Linked DNA regions of Coturnix japonica. The protein of the gene in region 1 purifies or fractionates together with the protein of each later gene. This does not show direct contact. Links are inferred from orthologs where the notes say so. Each region holds a gene or a part of one and is shown in the gene's direction. Other genes may lie near its edges. The genes, in order: PABPC4, MKRN1, PAIP1, G3BP1, LARP1, ATXN2 and DDX6.

What was found.
Region 2: the proteins of PABPC4 (region 1) and MKRN1 purify together in Homo sapiens (affinity purification with mass spectrometry; 3 studies listed by BioGRID and IntAct, with this or other methods). This does not show direct contact. The link is inferred for Coturnix japonica from reciprocal best matches to the Homo sapiens genes PABPC4 and MKRN1.
Region 3: the proteins of PABPC4 (region 1) and PAIP1 purify together in Homo sapiens (co-immunoprecipitation; 3 studies listed by BioGRID and IntAct, with this or other methods). This does not show direct contact. The link is inferred for Coturnix japonica from reciprocal best matches to the Homo sapiens genes PABPC4 and PAIP1.
Region 4: the proteins of PABPC4 (region 1) and G3BP1 purify together in Homo sapiens (affinity purification with mass spectrometry; 4 studies listed by BioGRID and IntAct, with this or other methods). This does not show direct contact. The link is inferred for Coturnix japonica from reciprocal best matches to the Homo sapiens genes PABPC4 and G3BP1.
Region 5: the proteins of PABPC4 (region 1) and LARP1 purify together in Homo sapiens (affinity purification with mass spectrometry; 3 studies listed by BioGRID and IntAct, with this or other methods). This does not show direct contact. The link is inferred for Coturnix japonica from reciprocal best matches to the Homo sapiens genes PABPC4 and LARP1.
Region 6: the proteins of PABPC4 (region 1) and ATXN2 purify together in Homo sapiens (affinity purification with mass spectrometry; 4 studies listed by BioGRID and IntAct, with this or other methods). This does not show direct contact. The link is inferred for Coturnix japonica from reciprocal best matches to the Homo sapiens genes PABPC4 and ATXN2.
Region 7: the proteins of PABPC4 (region 1) and DDX6 purify together in Homo sapiens (affinity purification with mass spectrometry; 3 studies listed by BioGRID and IntAct, with this or other methods). This does not show direct contact. The link is inferred for Coturnix japonica from reciprocal best matches to the Homo sapiens genes PABPC4 and DDX6.

Annotation. Positions count from the first base shown.
Region 1 is NC_029538.1:4,814,725-4,818,861, reverse strand, and holds the start of PABPC4 (polyadenylate-binding protein 4), read left to right. Parts: upstream 1-1,337; 5' UTR 1,338-1,438; intron 1,439-1,808; 5' UTR 1,809-1,837; coding exon 1,838-2,030; intron 2,031-4,137.
Region 2 is NC_029516.1:55,541,463-55,544,962, forward strand, and holds part of MKRN1 (E3 ubiquitin-protein ligase makorin-1), read left to right. Parts: intron 1-2,860; coding exon 2,861-3,087; intron 3,088-3,500. UniProt on the Homo sapiens protein: E3 ubiquitin ligase catalyzing the covalent attachment of ubiquitin moieties onto substrate proteins. These substrates include FILIP1, p53/TP53, CDKN1A and TERT.
Region 3 is NC_029547.1:15,439,769-15,443,268, reverse strand, and holds part of PAIP1 (polyadenylate-binding protein-interacting protein 1), read left to right. Parts: intron 1-708; coding exon 709-821; intron 822-2,476; coding exon 2,477-2,588; intron 2,589-3,500. UniProt on the Homo sapiens protein: Acts as a coactivator in the regulation of translation initiation of poly(A)-containing mRNAs. Its stimulatory activity on translation is mediated via its action on PABPC1. Competes with PAIP2 for binding to PABPC1.
Region 4 is NC_029528.1:5,176,353-5,179,852, forward strand, and holds part of G3BP1 (ras GTPase-activating protein-binding protein 1), read left to right. Parts: coding exon 1-8; intron 9-456; coding exon 457-550; intron 551-893; coding exon 894-1,098; intron 1,099-1,831; coding exon 1,832-1,933; intron 1,934-2,249; coding exon 2,250-2,361; intron 2,362-2,732; coding exon 2,733-2,858; intron 2,859-2,940; coding exon 2,941-3,071; intron 3,072-3,500. UniProt on the Homo sapiens protein: Protein involved in various processes, such as stress granule formation and innate immunity. Plays an essential role in stress granule formation.
Region 5 is NC_029528.1:5,943,588-5,947,778, forward strand, and holds the start of LARP1 (la-related protein 1), read left to right. Parts: upstream 1-1,391; 5' UTR 1,392-1,493; coding exon 1,494-1,842; intron 1,843-4,191. UniProt on the Homo sapiens protein: RNA-binding protein that regulates the translation of specific target mRNA species downstream of the mTORC1 complex, in function of growth signals and nutrient availability.
Region 6 is NC_029530.1:5,315,403-5,318,902, reverse strand, and holds part of ATXN2 (ataxin-2), read left to right. Parts: intron 1-733; coding exon 734-804; intron 805-1,521; coding exon 1,522-1,829; intron 1,830-2,315; coding exon 2,316-2,379; intron 2,380-2,481; coding exon 2,482-2,634; intron 2,635-3,500. UniProt on the Homo sapiens protein: Involved in EGFR trafficking, acting as negative regulator of endocytic EGFR internalization at the plasma membrane.
Region 7 is NC_029539.1:4,832,964-4,836,463, reverse strand, and holds part of DDX6 (probable ATP-dependent RNA helicase DDX6), read left to right. Parts: intron 1-19; coding exon 20-166; intron 167-403; coding exon 404-498; intron 499-1,162; coding exon 1,163-1,285; intron 1,286-1,623; coding exon 1,624-1,752; intron 1,753-2,057; coding exon 2,058-2,174; intron 2,175-3,370; coding exon 3,371-3,434; intron 3,435-3,500.

The DNA of each region.
Region 1 (4,137 bases):
AGCCCAGCCTCCCTCTGTTAGAGTCACAGCTGTGACATCCAGCAAAGGTGGTAAATAAAGTCTTTCCAGCCCCTGTTGGTGTGAGATGCAGTGTTGGTGTGCAGCTGTTCTGCCAGTCTGGATGCTGGGATGACTGCTGGCGTTGCAGCACATGAGCTTTGTTGAGGTGTAGTGTAAGGGAACATCCCCAGCAGGAACGCTGCTTGTGGTGGCTGCTCCCGTGACTTCTTACTTTGCAAACCACTGCATGAGCTGAGATCAGCAGGGATCTCATGGCTCTCACCCTGAGGTTGGCAATAATCCATGGCTTGAGCACAGCTCGTTTCATTTAGCTCCCAGCATCCACAGAAATGCCTTGGGACGCGCTGAGACCAGTCCAGCCAGACTGCGGGGCTGCCCTGTGTCTGCTGACCCTCTGTGAGCAGAACCAGAGTCACCTCTCGGCTCCGGGCTGTGGGAAGAGCTGAGAGCAGCCCCTGTTCAGCGGGGAGGATCCTCAGCGATCCCGGCCGTGAAAGAGGCTGCGAGAATTTCCCGGGGAACGGTGAAAATTCAACTTCCTTTCCCATAACTCGTTCTCGCTCCAAAACGCCTTTCCAAACCGCCCATAAATCCTCGCCTTAAGTGCCGTGTTGGGAATTGCTGGAAGGGAGCAACTGCAGCTGCGAGGAGGAAGGCAGCATCCGTCTGGAGTCAGAGGGAGCGATAATGGGGCCATTGAGCGCAGCCAGCCCCGGTGCCCGGCAGCCCAGACGCGGTGGGAGGTGGCGGGGGGGTCCAGCCCCGCATGGCTCGTTTTGGGGCGGCTGTTCACCCACAGCCCCGCGGGGGTAAAAGCAAAGCGGGGACTGCGGGAACCGCTTCCTGCGTGCCGGGATCAGGCGGTGGGAGGGCAGCGCTCCAGCCCCGCGGGGTTTTCCCCCCGCAGCAGCGTTTCGGTCGCAGTGGAGGGTGAGGGATGGAGCTTCTTTTCCCAGGGTTTTTCTAAGATCAAACATCTCCGGTAACACATCCCGGCAACGTTTGATCTGCCCTGTAGGGGAAATCCCCAAAGTCCCCCGAGCATCCTCGTTCTTCGGGCTACAAACACCATGAGCAGCCCGAGGGGACGCAGGGCTGTGCCTGCTGCGGTGCGGACGGGGCTGTGGGCGGCACTCAGCGATGCTCAGCCCCTCACGGTGCCGGTTTCCCGTCCGTTCCGTCCCGCCGTGTCTCGGTGCGGTTCCGCCGCCCTCTGCCGGTCCCTCCCGCAGCGGAGCAGCCCCGATCCGGACGCCCCGGTCTCGGTCCTCCCAGCCGCAGGGCGGCGCTGTAGCGGATGTGGCGCCGCAGGGGCCGCTCCCTCCGTCCCGCCGCACGCGGCCCCGCACGGACCGGGCCGGATATAAAGGGCAGCGCGGTGTGAGCCGCCCCTTCTGTGCCCGCCGGGCCGCAGCGCGTGAGTGGGGCCGGGCACCGGGACGGGGCGGGGAGCGGGGCACGGAGCGGGGCACGGAGCGGGGCACGGAGCGGGGCACGGAGCGGGGCAGGGCGGCTGCGGCACGGTCCGGTCCGATCCCGGCTGCCGCGTGGGGCTGCGGCCCGTCGGGGCCGGTTGTGGGGCTGAGCCTCGCGGGGACGGGGCGGTTTGAAGCTCCGGGTTGGGGCGGGTTGTGGGTGTCGGAGGCCGCGGGTTGTGGCTCTATGGCCAAACAGCCTGAAAACGGCCCGTGCGGGGCCCGGAGCTCCGCGCTGTGAGCCGGGCCGGGCTGTGAGCGGGGCTCGGTCCGCCCTGACGGAGGTTCTTCTCTCTCTCTCTCTCCCCGCAGACGCCCCATCCACGCCGAGCGGTCCGGGCATGAACGCGGCGGGCGGCAGTTACCCCATGGCCTCGCTGTACGTGGGCGACCTGCACCCCGACGTGACCGAGGCCATGCTGTACGAGAAGTTCAGCCCCGCCGGGCCCATCCTCTCCATCCGCGTGTGCCGCGATATGATCACACGCCGCTCCCTCGGATACGCCTACGTCAACTTCCAGCAGCCGGCGGACGGTACGTGGAGCAGCCGGGGGGCTCCGAGCCGTGTCCTCCCTTCTTGGCGTTCACCCGCTGTGTCTGTGCCTCTCAAACAGCCTCACGGCTCTCAGACATTCAAACACAGTTTATCAGGATCTCCACCTGCTCGGGGGTGCCCCCCCAAAGCACTGGAGGTGCCAGCTGTTCTGTGTACCTGGCACAGCTGGCTAATGAGCCCCAGTTGGCTGCTTTCTGCCCTCACCCTCTGGCTGCTCACCTGCTTCCCTTCACACCTGGGAGGGCTGATGGCTGCTGTATGACAATCTGCAGTGCTGTTCTTGAGCAGCTCATTGTGCAATGCACTGTGCTGCCTCCTGTGCAGGGTCCGTGCTGCTTTACTCTGGCCAGATTGTTTCTAGTAGTTCCATTTGGCACCTGATTCAGTAGATGCTCCAGTGCTAAAGCAGTTGGAAGCATGAAAGATGGGACAGAAAAGGTCTTTGTGAATGTGTTTTTTTTTTTTTTCTGGAAGAAAAGTAGGTCAGTATTTTCTGCCCTTGTTCTGAGAGCCTTTACTTGTTGCCTGGTGCACATTTACTGCTCTTTGCTGTGATTTAGCAGTCTCTATATATAGACATCTCCAGAACAGACAGGATTCAAAATCAGTTCATAACAGCCCAGACTTGACCAGCCAGTAACCTCTCCCGTAGCCTGTGATTGGCCATCCTGCCTTTGAGTTTTACAGAGAGCAGATAGCAGACTTCCACAGGGTAATAAATACTTTGCCTTCAGGTCACAGCCTTCACAGTGTGTAGAAATGTCATCACAGAGCTGTGCTCCTGCAAGCCAGCAGAGCCTCTGAGCTCTCAGCTGATTTGATGTGAGCTGATGGTGACTGTACCGTCCTGGTTGCTGTCCTCTTTCCCGGTTCAGAATGCCTTCTGTGTTCTTAGAGTAGAGAAGACCCCTATCATGTAGGTGTAGGTGTGATGTTAAAAGGGAAGAGTAGCTAGTTGTAAATGCTTATGGTATCAGGAAAAACTCCCAAACAAATAGGAAGACAGCTGGTCTCCCCATGTGTTTCAAGGTAAACTTTTATGGTAATAAATAGGCATGAGTTTAGAGGGATGTTGCATCATTCTGGGCTCTTGGAGAAGCAGCAGACATTTTAGGAAGCCCCAGCACATGAAGTGATACTTTGACAGAGTAACTGGTGTCCTGTTACCGGTAGGTCTTACAAGGTCAAGTGACTTAAACCTTATCTTTGAGTTACTATTGGGAGGGAGGGAGAAATCCGCAAACTCTTCTGCCTCCACAAAGAGATCTGGGTCAGAAAGGTCCTTCCTGATGTAGTGAACAGCAGCATGAAAAGGGATAGTTTGTATTTCCTGGATACCTTTAGTGGAAGTAGGAGCACTTTGTAAATCTGAAGAGTTGTCAGATCCTATTAACCTTTGGGTGGGAAATAGGATTCTCTCCTTACTGTCTAGAGGAGCTGAGCTGTTTACAAGTCAGGTAGCAGCCAGAACGTTGCTGTCCTTTAGGGCTACCAGGAGATCACTGTAATCGTATCCTGAATTTCTGTGTTTCCAGAACTCCTGCATCTAAACTGGTTCAGGGCTTGCATTTTTCTTGTTTTTTCACAGCTGATGGTGTGATGCTTTACCCTGAAGGGGTTATTTTTGGACATGCATTGCTTGATGGTCTGCAGGGAGGTTATTTTTAGTGAAAATGAGCTCTGCTGCCTTCAGTTGAGGTTTGGTGCATGGTGAGCAGTGAATGCTCAGTGCTGGGTCTGTCCTGTTCTGATGGGCAGGTTAAGGAAACGCTTTGAAGTTTTGGCTGGTTCAGACTTTGCCATGGTTGTTAATATTTATTCTTCTTAACTGTAAGTGGAAAGAAAACAAACACATTTCATTTGGGAGGGGGAAAAAAAAAGCTGTTTCCTTTTAAATGTGCTCCTCATGCAGTTCAGTTGTGTTCCCGGGTTTTATAACATTGACAGTTATGACAACTCAGATAATCATGGAGAGAAACTTCAATGTGGCCATAGAGATAAGCTGTTCTGGCAGTACAGAGAACAGTGCGTGTTTCCCAAGCCAAGAAGGAACCCGGGGCTGGGATTAGATAACTGTCTCTAAGC
Region 2 (3,500 bases), on another chromosome or scaffold:
GATTCTGTGTATTGAATTCCCGCAGAATGAAGACATACTTGCTGTCTTTCACTGTAGAGAAACTTATGTTCCTTTTAAATGATGGACCTGCCAGCAGGAAGGAGTGTCGTGGTTTTATTGAAAATGTCTTCTAATAGGATATTCTAATCAAGTATATACCTGTCCTGCTACATAAATTGAAGACTGGAAAATTTTGTGTGGAAAATACTTCGTTAAACTATTTGGGTTGGATTTAAGTAGACCAGAGTGCTTTTGTTCTGTATGCCATATAAGGGGAAACAAAAGTAATTGGAATAATCCTACTAAGAGCTGAGCGTTTGAATGTGATGTAGACTGAAGCTGGAGAGTGCAAGCTCTTGAAAGCAAATGCTACTTACTTCATGGGCACAGCTTCATCTTGACAGAGTAGATAATATCTTAATGCCTTAATTGAGTTTTTCAGAACTTGAGAGATATTCCTCAGCTTAGAAATTCTGTTATCATCCACTTTAGTAGGAGCTAGTAGCCTCATTATTTTCCATATACATTTGGGCTCTAAAAATGCGGCATGATTAGAGAGTTCTAAAACTTAACAAGCTTGCAACCTCTATGTAGCTCTTCAATATAAACAGGTGGATTTGCTGAATGAATCTGCTGGCAGAGGTAGAGACATTGCGCTTCTCAGTGCAGCTGTTTCTTGGCTCGGTTTTCAGGTTGGCATAGCTACGGTCTGGGTCTGTGGGCTGAAGATCTCTTTGCAGCTCAAGCATCAGATGTGCTCTTAGCATTGTTCAGTTTGGTCCAAAACTTACCCGGTTCATATATTGAGATTGTTGCATGATGAGAGCCGAAGTGTCAAAAGCAGGAGTTGTTTGTAGTGAGGCTGTTTTCAAAAGTGCACTCTTTAGCACATGCTAAAGCACTGAAGTGAGACTTGCATGTAGTATTACTCTGAGTTTTGAAACTGGCTTGAGTGTTGAAAGTAGGTTGAGTGTAAGGCAATGGGATGCTATGTTACCTTTGTACCATAGTCATAACTTAATCCCCAGAATGATTTAGTCACCCATCTTGGCTGTGAAATGAAACTGGATTATATTGCAGGTCCTTTCCAAGTGAAATGGAGAATGGGAGGTCAGCTTTCTGGGATCTAACCTACTGAAGAGTAGTGGCTTTGAAAATAGCGGGCAGAATCATAGAAGATAAGTGAGGAGTGTTTGGATGTGGAACTGCTGAGACTGTGACTTCTAAGTTTCTCTAATTTGACTTTCAAAGATAGAGCAAAACAGTGCAGTAGGTTCAAGAGTTACACATGTAGGGTTTCAGATTGTGGAAAAGGTAAGACAAGAAGGAAAAAAACTGATTTCATTTTCATAGAAATACAGCTGTAGCTGAGATGAAGTGCTGGGAAAGCATGGAGGACTGGGACTGAAAAATGAGGTCACTTTCAGCATGTTTTCCCCCTCCTATAATGTCGTACTTTTAAAGTGCCTGAAGGCGTTATTAAAGATCGCCATTCACAGAGCTATATCTTAATGTCTTGACCTTTAGATGACAAGAACTGGTTGTGCTTTGGACACAAGGATGGTAGTAGCATGTACCTAGCTAGAATTTACTAGCTACACTCCATATTCTGCTTGTTGCTTTTAGTGGTGGTGTTGTGTTATTTGCTGTTGCTCCTTAAATAATTCAGTATATTCATTTTTGCCAAGGTTTGAAGCTCTGCTCTCTCTTTTTGTGGCCCAGCGTAGAAAATGAATGGGATTGTAAGTCAGTCTTTGGGGGATAAGACTTCAGAACCTTTCTTCTCAAAAGAACCTCAGCTAAGAAGCTCTTTGTCAAAACTTTATCAAGAAAGGTTTTATAAAGGATATCCTTCAGAGGAGCACAGGTGACTCTGGAAACTTTCTCCATTAAGAAAAGCTTCAAGTGTACCTCTGCTTCAAAGTATACGTTTTCCAGGGATATAGGATTGCCTTGAGCAAAAGATTATCTTGCCAGCCCCATTTCAAAGAGGTGCTGTAGCAGTAGGATCCTTTGAAACTCAACTGTATTTCTCTGGTTAGTAGCCTTCTGTCTGTGAATCCTGTGATCTACTAAACTCTCCCTCCTCAGAAAGTTAAAAACGATAATAAAAAAATCTTAACGGCATGAAGAAAAAGCACTGGCAAAAATGACAACCAAGGGAATGGAAACAGAGCGGTACTGGTGATTTTCTTTGTTGTTGTTACTGCTGCTTGAGCAAACAAGGGCAGATTGGATATCTGTTTCGGATGGGTTTTATTTACTTTATTTGCAAATATCTAGAGTAGACACAGAGCCACATGGAGCTGTGGTCAACATCATGCTGATTAACCTGCCTTTGAGAAACTGGTGATGTAGTGTTTCTGTACTGGCATTTCTTTATGCTGGATACACCGCTATTGCTTCAGTGATGTAATTGCAGTAGGGATAATTGAGAATCAATTCCAGCTGGACAAGAACTGATTCTCAAAGCAGTGAGTGATTTTTAACCTTACTTAATTGTTGCTGAACCATAGTTAGCATAAAAATGTAGTTAGTGAGACTTTCTAGCAAAGGCTGAGCCTGTAAATAGATTTTGCTCTGACCACCGAAGCCTTTATAGCTTTAGTCTTGTCTGAATTGAAAGATGAACAAATTACATTAGAAATCGGTATTGCTTTCTTGAGTCAGAAAATAACTTAGTTCAGATTGAAGGTATGTGGAACTTGGACTGAAGCGAGCCTTGCTTTTCTTCTAATCCATTTGGATAGCTTGAGCAGGGTCACCCAAAGAGTTTTTGTTTTTTTAACTTCTTTCGTTAAATCTATCTTCTTGCTCTAAATGTGAATGTTTTGCTTCCCATCCTTAATTCTGTACCCAGCTGCTCCTTCCTGCACTGAAGTACCCTTGGAAGAAATGGTGATTGAGGAAGAATATGAAAAGCAGGAAGCAGATGTGGAGATGAAGAAGCAGCTGTGCCCCTATGCTGCGGTGGGAGAATGTCGTTATGGAGAAAACTGCGTGTATATCCATGGGGACGTCTGTGATATGTGTGGACTGCAGGTCTTGCATCCAATTGATGCTGCACAGAGATCCCAGCACATCAAGGTAAGCAGACAGCTGTCTGGTGTTAAATAGCTCCAAGTTATTGCTTCCTAGCTCCCTGCAGTCACTTGTCATTTATTCCCTTTTATTTGAAGGTGCATGCGAGTTGGGCAGTGAATGAAATTCCTGTTGTAAACCAGACTGTTTCCTGTCAGTGCCGTATTCAAAAGCAGCTGGGCTTCCTTATCTGTGCTGGGAGAGCAGTCTGCGTGAAGATACTAAATCTTTGTTCTTAGCCTAGTAAAACTGGATGGTCTTCCAGATTGCCTTTCTGATGTTTAAAGCAATGTCTAAAGAAAGGAATTTGAACTGTGAATTGATTGTTTCCCACTGTCTAAGCAGCACTTTTTAGGGATAAAGACTGCAGCTTTATCATTTTCCATTCCTTATGTAAAACAGTGAAGTGATACTCAGTG
Region 3 (3,500 bases), on another chromosome or scaffold:
CAAAATGAGTTTTTAAGTATCTGCTTCAGTGATACTAATTAAATCCAGTTGAGAAGATTTGTAGATAGTTCTGTGCAACAAAAAGGCTAAAATGAAGGGGGAAAAAAAGAAACAAATCCTGCGCAGTTCTCCCTTCTTTTGAAGGTCAGGTGTCTCAGTCAATCTATAAAGATTAATCATCTGCTTTTCTCTATTCTTTCTAATACATTTACATATGTACCATTTCTTGTCGTGATTTACTCTTCCTAGGCATACTCTACTGCTGAATATAGATTCTAGAACAGATAGCTCTGAAATTTTATCAATTTTTTTGTTTGTTTGTTTAAACATTCATTGCTCTTTAAGAAAGTGTATATCCCTGAAGAAGTCTTAATGCCCTCTATAGATTTTTTTAAAATTTATTTTTATTTATTTATTTTTTTTACAGTTTCTACGTATGTTTTAGACACTCTTTGGTGTAGGTTATAATGGAGGAGTTGAATGCTCATGGTAAAAAGCCACAGAATCACGTATAGTGAGTGTTTCTGTTCTGAAATGTGCATAGCGAAGCGTTGAAAACTTATGTGCCAAATAATAATAATTAATCTTCTACTTTTCAGTTATCAAATCAACTGTTGTTAAATAGCTTTTTCTAAAGTTAAAGGTACTTGCTCATAACCTAATCATTACCTGTACAGTTAATTTATTTATCCACTTTTACTTTGAAAGGCCACATCAGTCCCAAACTTTTCCTACATGGGAGCAAGGTTGTGTAACTATTTATCTCACCATCTAACCATTAGTCCACAAAGTGGGAACTTCCGACAGTTGTTACTTAAAAGGTAAGTATCAGTGTGTCCTCTTAAGCCTATTACTTCCTGTGGCTGGGTTATGTATCTTCTTCTTTTGTGTGTAACTCTTAAATAAGCATCCAAAGAAGTATGAATTTAAAATAGAAGGATTTTAAATTGAGAGCTATTAAGGCAGAGGTACATACTGGATATTGAGTATGTACATACGTTATTTTCTTTTATGTAAAAACTGGACTCAGTTCAGATTCTGTAGTCTCTTCTGAACTCAGTACCAAATTATAGAGTAAATTTGAAAGCTAGTCGTATATACTTCAAAAGTATCCTAAAAATTTACATAAGTAAGACTTCCTTTGTCCTGTCCTTGTCCTTTGACTCTTACTGGGACTCTTTTTTTCTTGAATTGCTTAACTGGCTGGACTTGCTGTGACTTCATGGATTACATGGTGCAACATTTTTTAAATGAATGTGTCTCCTTTAAAATCCTAGCGTGTGACATTTGAAGGATTAATATATTTTACTTCAGGAGTGTTTAAAAATAATCCTTTTCTCTTTAAGGACTTTTGGCTTTCTAAGCATCAGGCTTAATTTAAAAGTTTTGCTTAGTGCATGGAAATTTACAAGCAAAAGCATGGTAAGCTTAAAAGATCATCAAAATGAATTTCTGGAAATTGGGAGCAGTACCTTTTGGAAAAGCAAAAATACTTTGTTACATGTCCTTGTTACAAAGGATATAACCTTTTCTCCTTCCTAGTGACACTACAAATCATCATTTTTATCTTGTTTTCTTAATTACATTTGTTAAGTGAATGGTATAATGAAGGAAATCCTTGCTAATGGTGATTCTTGGTTTTAAAACCAGCCCAGTGATAAAATTAGCACCCTAAAAATGTAAATTTGAGGTTGCTTATGGTTTTGCATCTACTATGGATTAATTTGGGATGGGGTGAGGATAAAAAAAGCTAACTAAATGAATACATATTCTCTTTCTCAGCCCAAATTTCTATCTAAAATGTGACATCTCTCCTCCTTAAACTGTTGAGTTTTCTCAAACATTTCCCAGTCAATTTCTTAATCTCAGCATGTAGGTAATGAGAATATATTGGAGGTTGTCTTGTTTTCCTTTTAATCTGAACTGCCATGTAAACTAGCACTATCTTTGACACACTTGTTGAAGACTAAAATATTGTGTCACTGCTGTATTTCCTTAAGTTATAAATGCTTTTAAATGTATTCAGTTTCCACCGCCAATTATAACTAAATTATGCATAGCTGTCACTTAAAATTGTGGCATAAAGAATTTATCGAGTAAGTGTATAGGCATACCTGGCAATGTGAGCACTGCCTTAAAATGGGGAGAAGCGTTACAGTACCTCCTGTATTTCTGTTAACATTTAGATGCCTCTGTTAAACTTGCATTCATACCGTATTAGGTGTATTTTTGTCTTCAGTATCTCAGTGCTTGAAACCACAATCATGTCATCATATTTATTTACTGAGGACAATAAAACACTTTGCATTTGTGTAGTCCTCTCATTTCCTTTACAAATCATGCTTACCAAGATTCAACATGGAACAGTTTTAACACAGTTCATAAGTTCTTAGCAATGTACTAAATCAGTAGCATATTGTATGTGTTGGGATGCTTTTAAGCACAATAATGATATAATTTTGTTTAATGTTTTCAGGTGTCAAGCAGAGTTCGAAAACAGAGATGAAGCTGCAAAAGGAGATGAGGTTACTCGAAAACAATTCCATGCCTTTGTACTGTTCCTAGGTGAACTTTATCTTAACCTAGAGGTAGGAAAAAAGTCATTTTTCATGTGGTTTTTCACCCATTTTTGTTGCATTTAAGCAAATACTGAAACAAGAGGTATCATTTAAGGTATTGTTTGTGTTGGTTTTTGTTGCTTTTTTATGTAGAAGGGAATAAGTAAAAAACTTCAGAACATTTTAACTGCATATCAAAGGAACAAGCAAAAATGGACAGGATAATTAAAGGAAAAAAAGTGTTTGAAGATACTTTTTAGAAAAAGTGTAAGAGTTAAAAGAACCTAGCACAAAGTACCTTTCCTAAAACTTGCCTGGTCATACCTACTTCACTGTTGGAAAATTTGGAATGAAGTTCTCTGATTTTATTTATTTATTTATTCCGTCATATGTTAAAACCTATCAAAAGCAAATTTAGCCACTAGCTGGAGCTATTAAATGTTTGAAGAAGGGTGAGAGATTTCAAAATGAGCAATCGGAAGTGGAGACCTTCAATGGGATTTCTTTTCAAGGTTTGAATCCTTGGCTTATGCTTGAAGCACCTAATACTTTCTTTAGATCAGTTTTTTTATATCTGTAGTGCTTACATACATTTTTTTTTTGTACACAAAAACCTTACTTGACTCTTACACCTGTGAGTTCAGCAAAGTCACCAACTTCTGTAATAAGCTTGACAATTTTTTACTGAAGTATTTCAAAGGTATGATCTAGTGAGATGCTGTAAAAATGTTCTTGTATCATGGGGAAAGAAAGCGATTCTCCAGCTCTTCCATTTTTGTACATAAACGGGCTTTGAAATGTACTTTTGTCTTTCTGGAAGTAAAAAGGAAGCTTTCCAGGAAGTTTGGGGGGAGAGAGAGCTGTCCAGTTTTATGGAGTTACCCCTCTTATTTTTAAACAGTTTTCTATAATGATTTAAAAAAAAAAAAAAAAACTTTCAGA
Region 4 (3,500 bases), on another chromosome or scaffold:
TCCTGAAGGTGAGCACCAGCAGACTCCATGTATTTCCTTTGGTGTTTGTTCCTGGGTCTGTTTCATGTTTTGTTTCCAGACTACAGGAGGTCTCTTTTTACAGCATTCATCTTTTTGGTGTTCCGAGTCTTTTCTTGCCTGTAGTTTTGTCCTTTTATCACTATATTATCTGTAGTTATTTTTGATATAATCTTTTTCTATTGAGCAAGCTGTGAGATCTTTTTTTATCAAATTTGTAGGCAATGATTGTATTCTGAAGTATTTAGAAAATGTTATTTAATGTCAGAAAAAGCAAGTAACTCAAGTGGAAGCATAACTGTAAGGAAATGTCTGTTTAGTGCCATGTTTTGGTTGTGCTTCCTTGTGCTCCTCAGCAGAGACTTCAAATGTGTGTTGGTGGGAGGTGAGTTGGAGTCGAGTAGTAAAGCTGTGTGTGGTGTTTCTAACTTCTTTTAGAATCAGAGGAAGAAGGGGAAGAACCTGAGGAAAGACAACAGACACCTGAGGCTGTTCCTGATGATACTGGTGCTTATTATGAGCAGACTGTCAGGTAATACCTTTGTTAGATGGTAATATTGACTACTTACAGAACAACCTGTAGGAACTTGCTGCTATACATGATTTTACCCTTTTGACAGTTGAAAGACAACTGAAACTTTAATGCTGTTATGCTTATTGCAGAGACTCCAGATTATCAGTACATGTAATGCTTTGGTCTGTAGTGTATTAATGTGAAACTTGCAAGCTTGTACAATGTAGTTTTATTTAGATTACCTTTGTTCTTCCTCTGTAATGAAATGTTCAACACAGAAACAAACCACAAGTAGCATTCCTTATATCTAATCAGATGCAGTAAATACCACCCTTGCTTGCTTTTCTTGTGGTGCTAATAGCAATGACATTGAAGAACACCTGGAAGAGACAACTGCAGAGGCAGAGCCTGAGCCAGAGCCAGAACCTGAACAGGAACCTGAGCCAGAGGCACAGGAAGAAAAATCTGAGCCAGTATTGGAGGAATCGGCTCCAGAAGAGACTGTAGAGAAGAGTCCTTCTCCAGCTCCTGCTGATCCAGCTCCTGCAGTGCAAGAGGACTCCAGGGTAATAACCATGTGTGACTTTTTGTTGTTTAATCAGGAAGTTTGACACTCTGCTTTGTTTCATTCTGTCCTCCAGTGAGGGAAGTATCTGGAATTAGATATAAGTGTTTAAATGCTCTGAAGCTCTTTCTTGAGTCCAGATCGTTCTTTTCCTTACCAGTTGCTTTTTTCTCATTGACTTTTCTACAACAGTAGATAGACAAGTAGTTACTACCTAGAAATTCAACTAAATTACCGTGATCTAAAGGAAAGCTTTGTAAACTATGGGGATGTTGGAACTATGGTAATTGTGAGAGGCTCAGTTTCTTAGTTTATAAGCAGAGCTTCTGATGTTCTTTATAGACTGTAGCCAATAGCCAAGATGCAGAATCAGGAAAATGGTTGAGATGTGACCTAGATGGTGATTTATTTATTTTTTTTGTTAGTCTGTAGTGTCAAAGGAATTAAAAGTTGACAAATGAGTATTCCATAAAACAATGTTTTAATTAACTTTGTTGTGGTACTTGGTGCTAGGCTGTTGCTGTCTCATATTTCAATTCTACTTGGAAGTCAGATGTAGGTTAGAAGTGGTGTTCTGTTATTGTAATGCATGTCTTCTGACTTGGAATGATTCGAAGGGGGTTGTGGGGAAACTTCTAATGGTTGAATCCATAATATCATGGATTACTTAAACCTTTGATACAGACATGGTAACATCAGGAATATAGAGCTGAATTTAATCTTCTTTTCTTTAGACATTTTCTTGGGCGTCAGTAACCAGTAAGAACCTCCCTCCCAGTGGAGCTGTTCCAGTATCGGGGATTCCACCTCATGTTGTGAAAGTACCAGTCTCACAGGTAGAAATTCAGCATCTAAAGCTGTTTCACTGCTAAACTGGCTGGCAGGAAGCTGAGATGGGGGAGTAGTGGTTAAAGTAGTATAGCCATACTTCAGGTGGTCACTTCTTATGCAGTTGTGTATGGAATGACCTGGTAATTTTAGCTTGATGTTGAGAGCCACAGCGTAACGTGTTTAGTCACGGATGAAAAGAATAGTATTCAGGCTTTTGACTCAATTTTCAAGAGAACTGATAAATTACTTGATAGCAAGCTCTTAAATGTGTGACTGTTTCATTTTATTCTTGCATGATAATTCTCTTTTGAATTTATACAGCCCCGTCCTGAGGCAAAGCCTGAATCTCAGACCCCACCACAGAGACCTCAGAGGGATCAGAGAGTGAGGGAGCAGCGAACAAGCATCCCACCACAGAGGGGTCCTAGGCCAAGTAAGAAAAGCTACAGAATGTAAAAGTTTTTGGATCTTTGATTTGGTGGTTTGTTTTGGGGAATCAGTAAGACAAGAGTTTCATTTGAGTTGAGTCTTGTTAACAGTGAGGTTTTTCTGCTTACCTGGATACTGAATAGTTCTGGCCTGAATGTCAGTCAAGCTCTGGAGCTTTTGTTATGTTCTCTGAAGTATCCTGTTTTTTTATTTAGTATTTGCTTTCAGACAGATGATAGATAGCATGCAGTCAGAGAATTCCTGGTGTAGGGTGCTTACCTTCCTATATATAAGTGGGTAGACAGTTGGTAATTCTGTGATGCTGTTCTTTCTTTTGGGAACTGTCTTTCCTTAAACTTTACTCTTATGTTCAAGTTCGTGAGGGTGAACAAGGTGATGTGGAAACAAGACGGATTGTGAGGTACCCGGACAGTCACCAGCTCTTTGTTGGGAACCTTCCCCATGATGTGGATAAAAGTGAACTAAAAGACTTTTTCCAAAGTAAGTTGGTAGTTCTACTCCTTAAAATTTGTGGTTGCAGCCATTGGTGTGATCAACAGGACATTCTAATGTATGACCCAAGAACTTGGCTCTTCTCTTGCAGGCTATGGCAATGTGGTTGAACTGCGCATCAACAGTGGTGGGAAGCTCCCCAATTTTGGATTTGTGGTGTTTGATGATCCTGAGCCAGTTCAGAAGATCCTTAGCAACAGGGTAAATAAACTTTCAGTCAGGCTTGTTGCTCTGTTAATAACATGCAGTGTTTTTCAAGGTGCTTCCAACACAAAAAGGTACAGTCTGGTCCTGTGCACAAGTAATATCTTTACTTATTCAGTTGTTGACAGAAGGGGTTGAGAGGGAGAAACTATACTAATGTACAGGTTGAAAAGAGTTCCTTGTAACAAAGGAAAAGTACCTGCATAGTTTATCAGCAGTGATTGTTCATGGAAGATGTGCCTCCCTTGAGTGTGTATGGCATGGTGGTAGGCAGTGAATCTGGATGCATCTAAACTGTGCCATGTGCTCCCTTGCAGCATGGTTTTTCAGCAGGTAGTGGCATCCTTTCTTTAATACTGTATTGTCCCCTCTATTTCTGGCCTTAAATTGAAAGGTAGCTTATCATAGAATGGCTTAGATTGGGAG
Region 5 (4,191 bases), on another chromosome or scaffold:
GGTCACCAATCAGCCTTCTGATGGCTCCTTATTTGCCCTCCTGGGCTGTGAGCCATCCTCTCAACCCTCCTGCTTTTAACCTTCACCAAAGGCACTGAACATCCTGAGTTGGAAGGGACCCACAGGGATTACCGAGTCCCACTCTGGGCTCCACACAACACCATCCAAATCAGATCCCTACATCTGAGAGCCAACACTCCTTGAGCTCTGGCAGCTCGGAGCTGTGTCTGCTGCCCTGGGCAGCCCATTCCATGCCCACAGCCCTCTGGTGCAGAGCCTTTCCCTTACCCCCACCTAACCCTCCCCAGTGTAGCTCTGTGCTGTGCCACAGACACAACCTCTGCTCATCGGACACCTGATTTTGTATCCCCCAGATGGAGAAGAGAATCTGTCGTGGAACCACACATGTCCTTTTCTCTGTTCATTTAGAATCATGGAACACCCTGAGCTGGAAGGGGACTCGTAAGGATCACTGAGTCCAACTCCTGGCTCTGCACAGAATCACCCAAAAATCAGACCGTATGACTGAGAGCATTGTCCAGATGCTTCTTGAACTCTGGCAAACTCGGTGCCATGGCCACTGCCCTTGGGACACCATTCTAACACCCGACCACCCCCTGGTCGGTCGAAGTCCCCTCCCAGGCTCCCTACACCTTGTCACACAGGTAGGCATCCAGGCGGGTCTAAAATATCTCCAGAGGAGACTCCACCACCTCCCTGTGCAGCCTGTTCCAGTGCCCCGTCACCCTCACTGTAAAGCAGTTCTTCCGCACATTCGTGTGGAACTTCCTATGCTGTACTTTCATCCCATTACCCCTAGTCCTGTCCCCACGCACTACTGAAAAGAGACCAGTGGCTCCCACACTTCAGGTATTTATAAACCTGGATCAAGTCCCTTCTCAGCCTTCTTTTTTCAAGGCTAAACAGACCCAGTTCCCTCAGTCTCTCCTCATAGTGGAGATGCTCCAGACCCTTCACCATCTTAGTGACCCTCCGCTGGACTCTTTCCAAAACAGATCCCTGTCTTTTTTATACTGGGGGAGCCCAGAACTGGACACAATATTCCAGATGAGGTCTCACACCAGGGCAAGTCACCCCGCCGGGTGCTGCGAGGAGGATGGGAGCAGATCAGAGTAGATCTCATCTCTCTCTTCTTGCCATCCCCATCTCCACGCGGCCCCTTTAAGCTCAGCCGGGCGTTGCATCAGGCACGTGCGCGCCGCCGCCTGCCGGCCTGTCGGGAGCGCGCCCCGCCCCTCCTTTCCCCCCTTCCCCTCCCCTTAGGCCGGGTGTGCGCGCTCCCGCGGCCGGGGCGGCGCTGCGCGGTGCGCGCCCCCGCGGCTAGTCGCGTGGTCCCCGCGCGTCTCCATATTGCTGCTGCTGCTGCTGCGGCCGCTATAGGGGGGGCGGGGGGGAAACGCCGCGTGTGAGTGAGTGAGTGAGTGTGTGCGCTCAGGGGGCGCTTCCCCCCGTTGCGGGGCGGGGGCGCGCAGATGGCGACGCAGGTGGAGGCGCTGCTGCCCGGCGCCCCGCTGCTGCCCGCCGAGGAGCGCGCCCTGGTGCTGAAACCGCCGCAGGACGGCGGCCGGGAGAAGGGCGAACCGCCCATGGGGCCCGACGGCGGCACCGCGGCTCAGCGGCAGCCCAGCGCCAAGCAACAGAAAGACGAGAGCAACAACCAGGAGAAGGAGAGTCTGCTGAGGGCGGGAGGAGACACGGAGGACGGCGGTGAGGCGGGCGGCGGAGCGGGGAGAAGGGAGTTCATCGAGGCTCCGCCGCCCAAGGTGAACCCCTGGACCAAGAACGCGGCTGCGCTGGCGGTCAACGGGCAGTCACCTCCAGGTGGGTGCGGGGGACGGAGGAGGGACACGGGGCTGAGGAGGGACACGGGGGTGCGGTCGAGGCCGGCGACGACCGCGCCCCGGTCCGGCAGCGCCATGCGGCACGGCGTGCGGCCTGATGGAGCGCGGCGGGGGGAGGGGAGCGGCCGGGCCGGGGCCATGCGGCCGGGGGAGGCCCGAAGCGGGCGGAGGGCGCGGTGCGGGCCCAGCTCGTTGGGCCGGGGCCGGGCGGGCAGGAGGAGGCCTCCCCTTCCCAGCATTCCGCCGAGCAGGCAACGTGGTGCCTTCCCCGGCCCAGCATGTGATTTCCCCCACGGCTCGGCCTCCTCCTCGGGCCCACGTGCGCGGCTCCGAGTTCGGCCCGATGCGGCCTGAGGGCGGCGGGAGGCCCTGGGGAACCGTGCGGAGGCCTCGTGCGATCTATGGAGGCCCTGCGGGGCTCGGGGGCCGCGTGTGCTCTGCGTGGAGGCCCAGGCGCCTGTCGTAAGGCTGAGCCGAAATGGCTGAGCGCCGTTAATTCACCTCTTGGGGCTTCTTTCTTTTGTTTTGTTTATTTATTTGGCAGGAGATACGGTGATATCAGGATAAACTTCTTCTCAGGAAGAGCCGTGGGGTGCGGGAATGGGTGGTGGAGTGCCCGGCCATGTGTATGTGGTGCTGAGAGACGTGGCTTAGTGGGCAGTATTGGTGGTGTATATACTAACTGTATATATATACTAACTGTACATATACATGGACTAGATGACCTTTTCCAGCCCTAATAATTCAATGATCCTGTGTTTGGGAGCTGATTGCTGCTCGGCTGGAGTTTTAATTCCTAATATTTTTGGCTTGTCTCTGTGAGCTCCGCAGTCACGCTGCCAGGTATGACATCAGGTTCCTTGTTACTGTTCTGTGTTTTGCAAGAAGCATTGCAGGCTCGGTGGGATGATTCACCAGAGGTGCTATTGATCTGTGAAAGATGGACACCTCTGTGATTTCCACCTGGAAAGCTGTCGTCTTTAATGGTAGCATAGAGGAGGTCAGTGTGCCAGGTAAAAGTCTGCGCCCAGATGGTTTGGTGGTTTGTCATTGTGTGTGCAATGCACAACGAAATCCAGGACTGTGCTGCTGTCTGTGTTTTCCTCTCACATGCAGAGTGACATCCAGCTGCTCACACTGCTCCTTTGTGTGAGAGCTGGGCTCTGTCACGCTGCCTTCTTAGGCTGCGCTCCCTCGGAATTGACCAAAAGGTGCAAAAATACGAGTTGTTCCCCCAGTGTTCCTGTTGGAGGCCTTGCAGTACATGCTAAAGTGGGGGGGGCAGGAGCTTGAATAGGCACTGTGTGGTGGAGGAGGGGGCTCTGCAAAGTCTGATATGATTTTTGAGGGTACAGCGTAACAGTGGGCAATAAGCATGCAACGTCCTGCGTGGTGTTGGGCCTGGCCCAATTGTCCCTGTATTCCTGGAGGAGTTGAAATAATGGAATTGATTTTTGCGGTGCCACAGACGCTGCCACTTGGCTCCCTTGCACTTGGGGCATTGTTTCTTTTGCTGCCTGGTTCGTTAGCAGAAGAGAAAACGTGTAAAACAAACACGGCTGGCAAACTCCCACGAGAGGCAGCCTGGTGGCTGGCCTTGCATAGCGGCCCTTTGCCTGAGTGCCTTCTCATGGGCTTGGCAGGTTCCTGCCGTATCTTTGCTGCTTTGGGTGGAAGATTTCTTCCAGCAGATGTTTCTGAAAAGAGATTTGAAGTGTGAGAATGTGTAAAAGTTGTGCTGTGGTGCAGATGAGCCGTGGTGTTGCAGTGACCTCCAGGAGCTCATCAAAGAAAAGTGGTTTCTCTGTACGCGTGAAACACACTAAGCACACATAAACTCTGGAAAGGCATTACTGGATGTTTTTAGGTTTTTAGCATAGGAACTGTGGTTGGCAATGCATGGTATTTGTGTGCTGATATACTGAATGCTTGCAGCCTTGATCCTGCTATAAAGGAGGTAGTAAGGAGGACTAGGAGCCATTGGACAACAGAACAGCTCTCTAAAGATACGGGGATCCCTCTATGACTTGTTTTACAGACTTTCAAAGCCCTAATTTTTTATTATGATTGTATTAATTATAGGCCTGAAGAGCAGATTTAATGGACAAGACATGCTCCTTAAGGTGTTCACCCATTCTTTAACGATCTGTGCTTACAAAAGGAAAGGAATTGAGCTCAAGCTCAGAGAAAAACAGAACCGTGCTCAAGGTGTTTGTGAGTTTTCACTATCTGTGTCTGCGGATGTGGAAGAGCCTGGCAAATCCCCCTCTGCTTGTTTTGAACTCCTTGACTTGTGCAGCTGAACGTCACCTGGGAAGGGTGAACACGT
Region 6 (3,500 bases), on another chromosome or scaffold:
TTAAGGAAGACTTTGAGGAGGCTATCTGTCTTGGATGTTATGTAGAGAAAATGAGGTCATGCAGTTCTAAAGTGACAGAGACCTACAGTTTTAAGTGTTGTTCTTCACTCATTTAATCTACTCGCAGTATAGAGATATTCATGTGGATGGTGTGGTTTTTGTTTTGTTTTTTTTTTTTCCTTTTTTCTTCCTTTCTCCTGGCCTGGATAGGGTTCTTAGAGCTGTGCACACAATACTTGTGGTCGTTGTGATCCACACCATTTTTTATAACCACGCTTCTTCCTATTAAGCCTTAATGTCGCCTTTTTCTCTGCAGCATTGCTTGTTATTGCATTTCTCATAAAAATCTTTTTACATTGTGGAACTTAATCAGCATTTCAGCTTTAACTGATACTTTTGAAATGTTGGCATGTTATGCTTTGAGGGTTTTATTGCACACTTCTTTGTGTTTGGCTGGGTTCTGCAGTCCTTATACCTCAGGGCTTCTGTCTTAGTGTGTGATGTATTAGAACTATAGATGTGTCACTTACATAATGCCGTGCTTTTACAGACTATTTCTGTGTCCTCATACATACAGTTCATGGGATGATACCAAATTGCAGATGAAGTGATGTAGTTGTATTTAATTTGTAGATATGCAAGCATTATCTTTTTGCAAATTTAGAAACATGGGGGTTATAGATGAAAACCTGAATTAGAGATGCTTGGACAATTCTGGTCTTGTGTTTGGCAGGTGTATCTCCAATTGTTTCAGAACATAGAAAACAGATTGATGATTTAAAGAAATTTAAGAATGACTTTAGGGTAAGTGTCTCTGTGTGCTTACTTAATGGTATCGTAGTTCTCATGTGTCCTGATTACTTTAATGAACTGAATACATTGCATATGTTAATGGGGAAACATTTCCTTGAAGCTTGTGCTCAGTGTGTGAAAATGTCCTTAAGAGCTCACAGTGAATGTTATGAAATTCATTGCTAAGTCTGCTTGTCTTATTGCCTAGTGAACAAGTGTGCATATCAGCTTAAATACTGTTCACTGAAAATGCTGCTCAAAACATGTGCGATAATTAGGTACAAAGAATCAACACATTTATGCCGTCTATGGAAAAGCTGCTTCAAAGTTCATTGTAAGGTTTTGCTGAGGAAAATTGGAACCAAATATCTGCTGTCCCACTTGGTGTTTCCTGGTTGTAATGATTTACTAGATCAGGTCAGCTTTTTAAGAGTTACTGTTAAACGGCATGGAGGGGGCTGAGTCAAAGGCGTGGTCTTAAGTTTTCCTGCCACTTCCTAATTGACATGTAGGTCAGACAAGCCTCTGAATAGCTTCCTGCAGAATGTAGTCTTAAAACGTTGTCAGTGTTCTTTTTTAATTATTTCTACCAGAAACATATGTTTGAAAAGGTTACTTCCAAACGACTGAGGTTTATGGGACTGTATTGTACTCTGTGATGGTGTTAGGTTGATGTTCCTAGTTTTGTGTATTAATTTAATGGACATATACCTTGGGTTTTTTTTCCAGTTACAGTCAAGTTCCTCTTCAGATGCAGTGGATCAGCTGCTAAACAAAACCCGAGAAGGTGAAAAATCAAGAGATGTAGTTAAAGAAAAGACAGAACCAACCCCTAAAGAACCTATCATAGAAACTGGCAGTAATACTAACTCTAACAGTGGCAGTAGCAAACCCAATAGTCCAAGTATTTCTCCATCAATAAGTAATAGTTCTGAGCAAAAGCGAGGGCCTGAGGTAACTTCACAAGGTGTACAGACATCTGGGCCTGGAAGCAAACAAGATAAAGAAGATAAAGAGGAGAAGAAGGATACTTCTGAGTGAGTAACTATGTCTTTTAGGATAAGCAAATCTGTTATTAGCATTTAATTGTCAGTACAAAAGCTATTATGAACATGCAATATCCTAATGTTTATATGGCTGTTGTAATTTGTCTCTTAATTGAGCAAAGGAAACAGCAGATGAGATGCTTGTACTGAATGAAAACCATCTTGTGAGTCAGTGGTAGAGCTGCGAGTATAGCTCTAGTCCTCTTGATGTCTGTTCTATGTCTAAATGATGATTTAAGTGTTTTTCTGCCTCATGTGAACTCAAGTATCAACAGCAGGAAAACTCCTCTGTAGAGAAGTGCAGTAAGAGTGTCAGTGAGAGTGGCTTCTTGTGTGCTGTGTTGTTTGAGTTCTCAGAAGTCTGACTCACGGATGGAAATATTTAATCTCTGTAGCTTTTTAATTGTTAGGGAGTTCTGCATATGTGCTGTAGTGGAGTAATGCTCAATGTTATTTTTTGCTGTTCTTTATGTTTAGGCAAGTTAGAAAATCTACACTTAATCCTAATGCAAAAGAATTCAACCCTCGATCTTTTGCTCAGGTAGGTTATTTGATACTGTTTAACATTTGCTCAGAGGCAAAGCTTTTACTTGGAGTACGGTCAAGCTAATCTTACATATGTGCTGCTGAACTCTGTTTGTAGCCGAAGCCTTCTACTACACCAACTTCCCCTCGCCCGCAAGCTCAACCAAGCCCTTCCATGGTGGGCCATCAGCAGCCAACTCCAGTGTACACTCAACCTGTTTGTTTTGCACCAAATATGATGTACCCGGTTCCAGTGAGTCCAGGCGTGCAGGTAAAGCACAGCATGTGATGTAAATTTGTTTACACTTTTCAGATTGGGAGACTTAGGACATCTAAGTTAAGAGAGTCTAATAGTACACTTTGTATTACTCCCGTAAATATGGGAACAATTAAACTGTTGTTCAGTTTTAGCTATGTAAATACTAACTTTCCCCCAGTGGCCTTTCAACCTGAGAGCTTTAATAGTCTCAAACACTTGTAAATTCCAACAGCTGTTACTTGCATTTATTGTTAATCTGTGCAGACCTCCTTTCCCTTGCTCCCAGCACAGTACTGCTAACTTAAGTTTTAAGCAACTGTTCTAGTTTTTTTCCTCAGCTTCCAGCTGTGTCCCACTCATTTCTGATTGTTATAGAGATCACCAGGCTTTCAGACTTAGCTGCTGTAAAGTTGTCTGATTTGATACATTGCTTGCAGCAGCAATACTAGCATTACTTGGCTGGTTATTGCAAACCATATGGTCTTGGTTGTATGTGCAGACTTAGTCACGGTGGTGAAAGAAAACATAGGTTAGGCAGAGTTTACTAAACTGTATTTGAAATCTGGAATTTTTTTCCCCTTCTCCTCCTTTTGTTCAGAATGGTTGCTGGTTATTGGAAAAAAAATGTGGCTAACAGTCCTAACTTTGTGGTTAAAGGTTTTGGTAGCGGAGGAAGCGATGGATCTTGTGCTAACTTTTCTCTGGTAATGTGTTAACAAAACACTCAGTATGCTCAGAATGTGTTAATGAGTAATTTAGCTGTCAGCTTCAACAAGGTCACAAGAGCTCTTCTTGTTTGGAATAAAGGAGTTTCTTGCAAACTTCTATGAGGCTTCAGTCTTATGTTTGACTTAAGGTATTACATTTGTGTAAATAGT
Region 7 (3,500 bases), on another chromosome or scaffold:
TGATACTTTTAACTTTCAGCAATGGTGATCGTTCCCACCCGTGAACTAGCCCTGCAGGTCAGTCAAATCTGTATCCAAGTCAGCAAACACATGGGAGGTGCCAAAGTGATGGCAACAACAGGAGGAACCAATTTACGAGATGACATAATGAGGCTTGATGATACAGGTTGGTGCACTTTGTTGCATTACAGTTACTGTTTATTTGGGGCTTTTATCCTGGGTGGGAGAATTTGTACTTTTCTCTTTTGCCTGTGCTACTGTTTGCTTGTTAGAAAATAGTTTGTAGTGTGTCCTTGTCACTGTATGTGGTTATTCTCTCAAATGCTTGGTATAAAACATGTCTCTGAATGCTGGAAACACTGCCTGAGTTGCCTTAACTTTTTTTGCTCTTCTCACTCCACAGTGCATGTGGTGATAGCTACCCCTGGAAGAATTCTCGATCTCATCAAGAAGGGAGTAGCAAAAGTTGAGCATGTCCAGATGATAGTATTGGATGAGGCAAGTAGCTCATGTTAAAACATTTTTCACTTGTTAAAGCAGTGATGTGTCTCAGCCAGCCACCTCATTATGCACATCAACAAGTAGTTTTGCTTGAGGATATCAAGGTTATAGCTAAATCATTTCTTGGTGGTTTGAGAAGGTATTTTGGCAGAAGTTTTCTGGGTGTGAATTTTCCTAGGTTGCTTTCCTAAAAAGGTTTTGACTTCTGTTTACTTTTTTGTTGCTGTGGAACGGATTAACAGTCACTTCTGAATGGAGGGAATGCATTTTGTTTAGTTTCGGTTTGTAACAAATGAGTAGTGCTTACCACAAGTTCATATAAACTGATTTATGAACATCTGAGAGATTACAGGCTTCTGAGTGAGAAGGTTGAGAAAATAATCCTATGACAGCTCTTGGCGTCTATTTATTTTTCTTTAATTTGATTCTGTTTTGAAAACAGTTTTGAAAACCAGGAAATGTAAACTTCCTTTAAGTGGTGAATCCTGGTTCCAGCAGCTAAATCAAATATCTTTTAGAGTGTAGTGATTGTTCCAAAGGGAGTGAAGCTGGGGAGGAGACTATTCCTGGTGGTGTTTTCTTTCTGCTGTGTTACACTACCAGAGGACTGGGAGCCTGTCCCATCTCTTTAATGTCGTATTTTGTACTTTTGTTGTTACAGGCAGATAAGTTGCTGTCTCAAGATTTTGTTCAAATAATGGAAGACATTATTCTCACGCTACCTAAAAACAGACAGATTTTGCTCTACTCAGCCACTTTCCCTCTGAGTGTACAGAAGTTCATGGTGAGTGCAGTTGGAATCTTGTACATATGATTGTGACACTGTACATAGGGTACACGAGTGAGTGGTGTTCTTTTATTTACACAGTCATGCTTTCTTGGTTTAATATATCAGCCTAAATATGGGATAGAAGGTAATTGCTTTTAGTGTGGTCTGATGCCTTGGATTTATAAGCAATCTTTCATAAACTTTCTTGAAATTTTACCTGCCCTTTCTCATGACAGATACAGAGTGTCTGGGTGGTGCATTCGTGCTTTGCAGTTTAAGTGTGCCAGAGGACAGGATGTCTTTATGCTGTTTTGCATGTAGATACGCCTGCTTTATTTTATTTTGTCTTTCAGAATTCCCATTTGCAGAAACCCTATGAGATTAATCTGATGGAGGAGCTGACCTTGAAGGGAGTTACCCAGTACTATGCCTATGTAACTGAGCGTCAGAAGGTTCACTGCCTCAATACGCTGTTTTCCAGGGTAAGCAATAGGGTTTAGAGCCTACAAAAGCAGTTTTTCACTTCAAAATAAAATAGTAAGATTTAGGATGACAGGTTTTTCCATGACAAAATGTACTAATGATGCTGTGAGCTAGAGTTAAAAATAATTCTTATTCTGCACTTTTGTGCTACAGAACCTTGAAGTTTTTTTCCCCTGTTGTTCAGAAATATATGTTATGAATTGTTTGTAGCACCTGTTCTCTCTTTTCGAAAGGGATTTAGATGCATGCCTTAGATTTGCTGTGAAAATTCCATGTTTACTGAACACTCTGATTATATTTCCAGCTCCAGATCAACCAGTCGATCATTTTCTGCAACTCCTCTCAACGGGTTGAATTGCTAGCCAAAAAGATCTCCCAGCTGGGCTATTCCTGCTTCTATATCCATGCTAAAATGAGGCAGGTAAGTACAAAGTTACAGCAGTTGCTATCTGGGTTCTTCAGGTTTATTTAAATTTATGTGTGCTGTAAAAATGTATTTTGCTTTAGTTCCACTTTGTGTCCAGACTTTTTTTCTGCTCTTTCCAAACTGATCAGTTGGTATTTAGGAATACAAACAGAGCAGTACTCAGCCAGTGTGAGCTCACAGCGTGACTTGGCAAGCAGCACATCTTGCTCCACGGCTGTAGGGGAATCTGAGAAGTCAGGGAGACAGCTTTGATCAAAGCTCTCAGTGAAAGTACCAACTATTACTGCATAGCAGTTTTGCACCCATGGCCTTGCTGTAAACATGAAAAATAGCAACATGGTTTTGGTGCACAGGGATTTATGTTACTTGTAGAGTAGCTCATGTACTCAAGCTTCACACTATAGCTTTCCTTGTTAGCTAGTGAACTTGGAGACACTGACAAGAGGTTGAAGTGATGTGTGGAAGGTGGTAGGACTTTGAAATATCTTACATTTTGTATGTAAACTAGAACAAATTAAAACGACAGCTTTAATGGACACCTGGCTGTTCATTGGACTGACAATACGAACCTTTGCTGGGCTATATATGGAGCAGTAATTTAAGCAGAAAAGGAGCTGATGTCAGTGTTGAGAACACAGCTGTGCAGATGGATTGCTTGAGACCTGGTTTTCATTTCTCTTATTTTTATCTTTCTGGCAAAAAAAAAATGGAGGCATCGTTATTTGAGTGGGACACTGCAACTTGTTCATTTCACTCTCTGAAAATGAAACTGCTTATTAATCTGCATAGTCCAGTGTGGCTTGTTAGTGAGAGAATAGTCTGCGCAGGCACTTGGCTCATACCATCACTGATTCAGTGGTGGAAAATGCTCTGCAGTGGAAAATGGAGTTACTTTGAGTTTTAAAGGAAGGATGTTTCCAGATTTTATGTCAATGCTCATGAATATATTTTTAGGATGTAAGGTATTAATATACAGCATTTGGCATGGAGCTAGGAGAGATGATAGTCAAAACACTGGGAATGAAAATAGACCTTGGGAACAAAAGAAGTTTTGGTATTAAGAGGCAGAACAAGGAGTTTAGACTCAGCTGATATTCATGAAGGGGCGAGCGTGGGATTTGTGGTTGTAAATTGAGCACTCAACTGAAAGTCATAACTGTTCTTTAATTAGTTTATTTATGTGTTTCCAGGAGCATCGCAACCGCGTGTTCCACGATTTCCGAAATGGCTTATGCCGCAATCTTGTTTGCACTGGTAAGAGCCCCTATGCATTTCTGAAGGTTGTGGTAGAGTAGCCATTAGCCCAGGTATAATTGATGA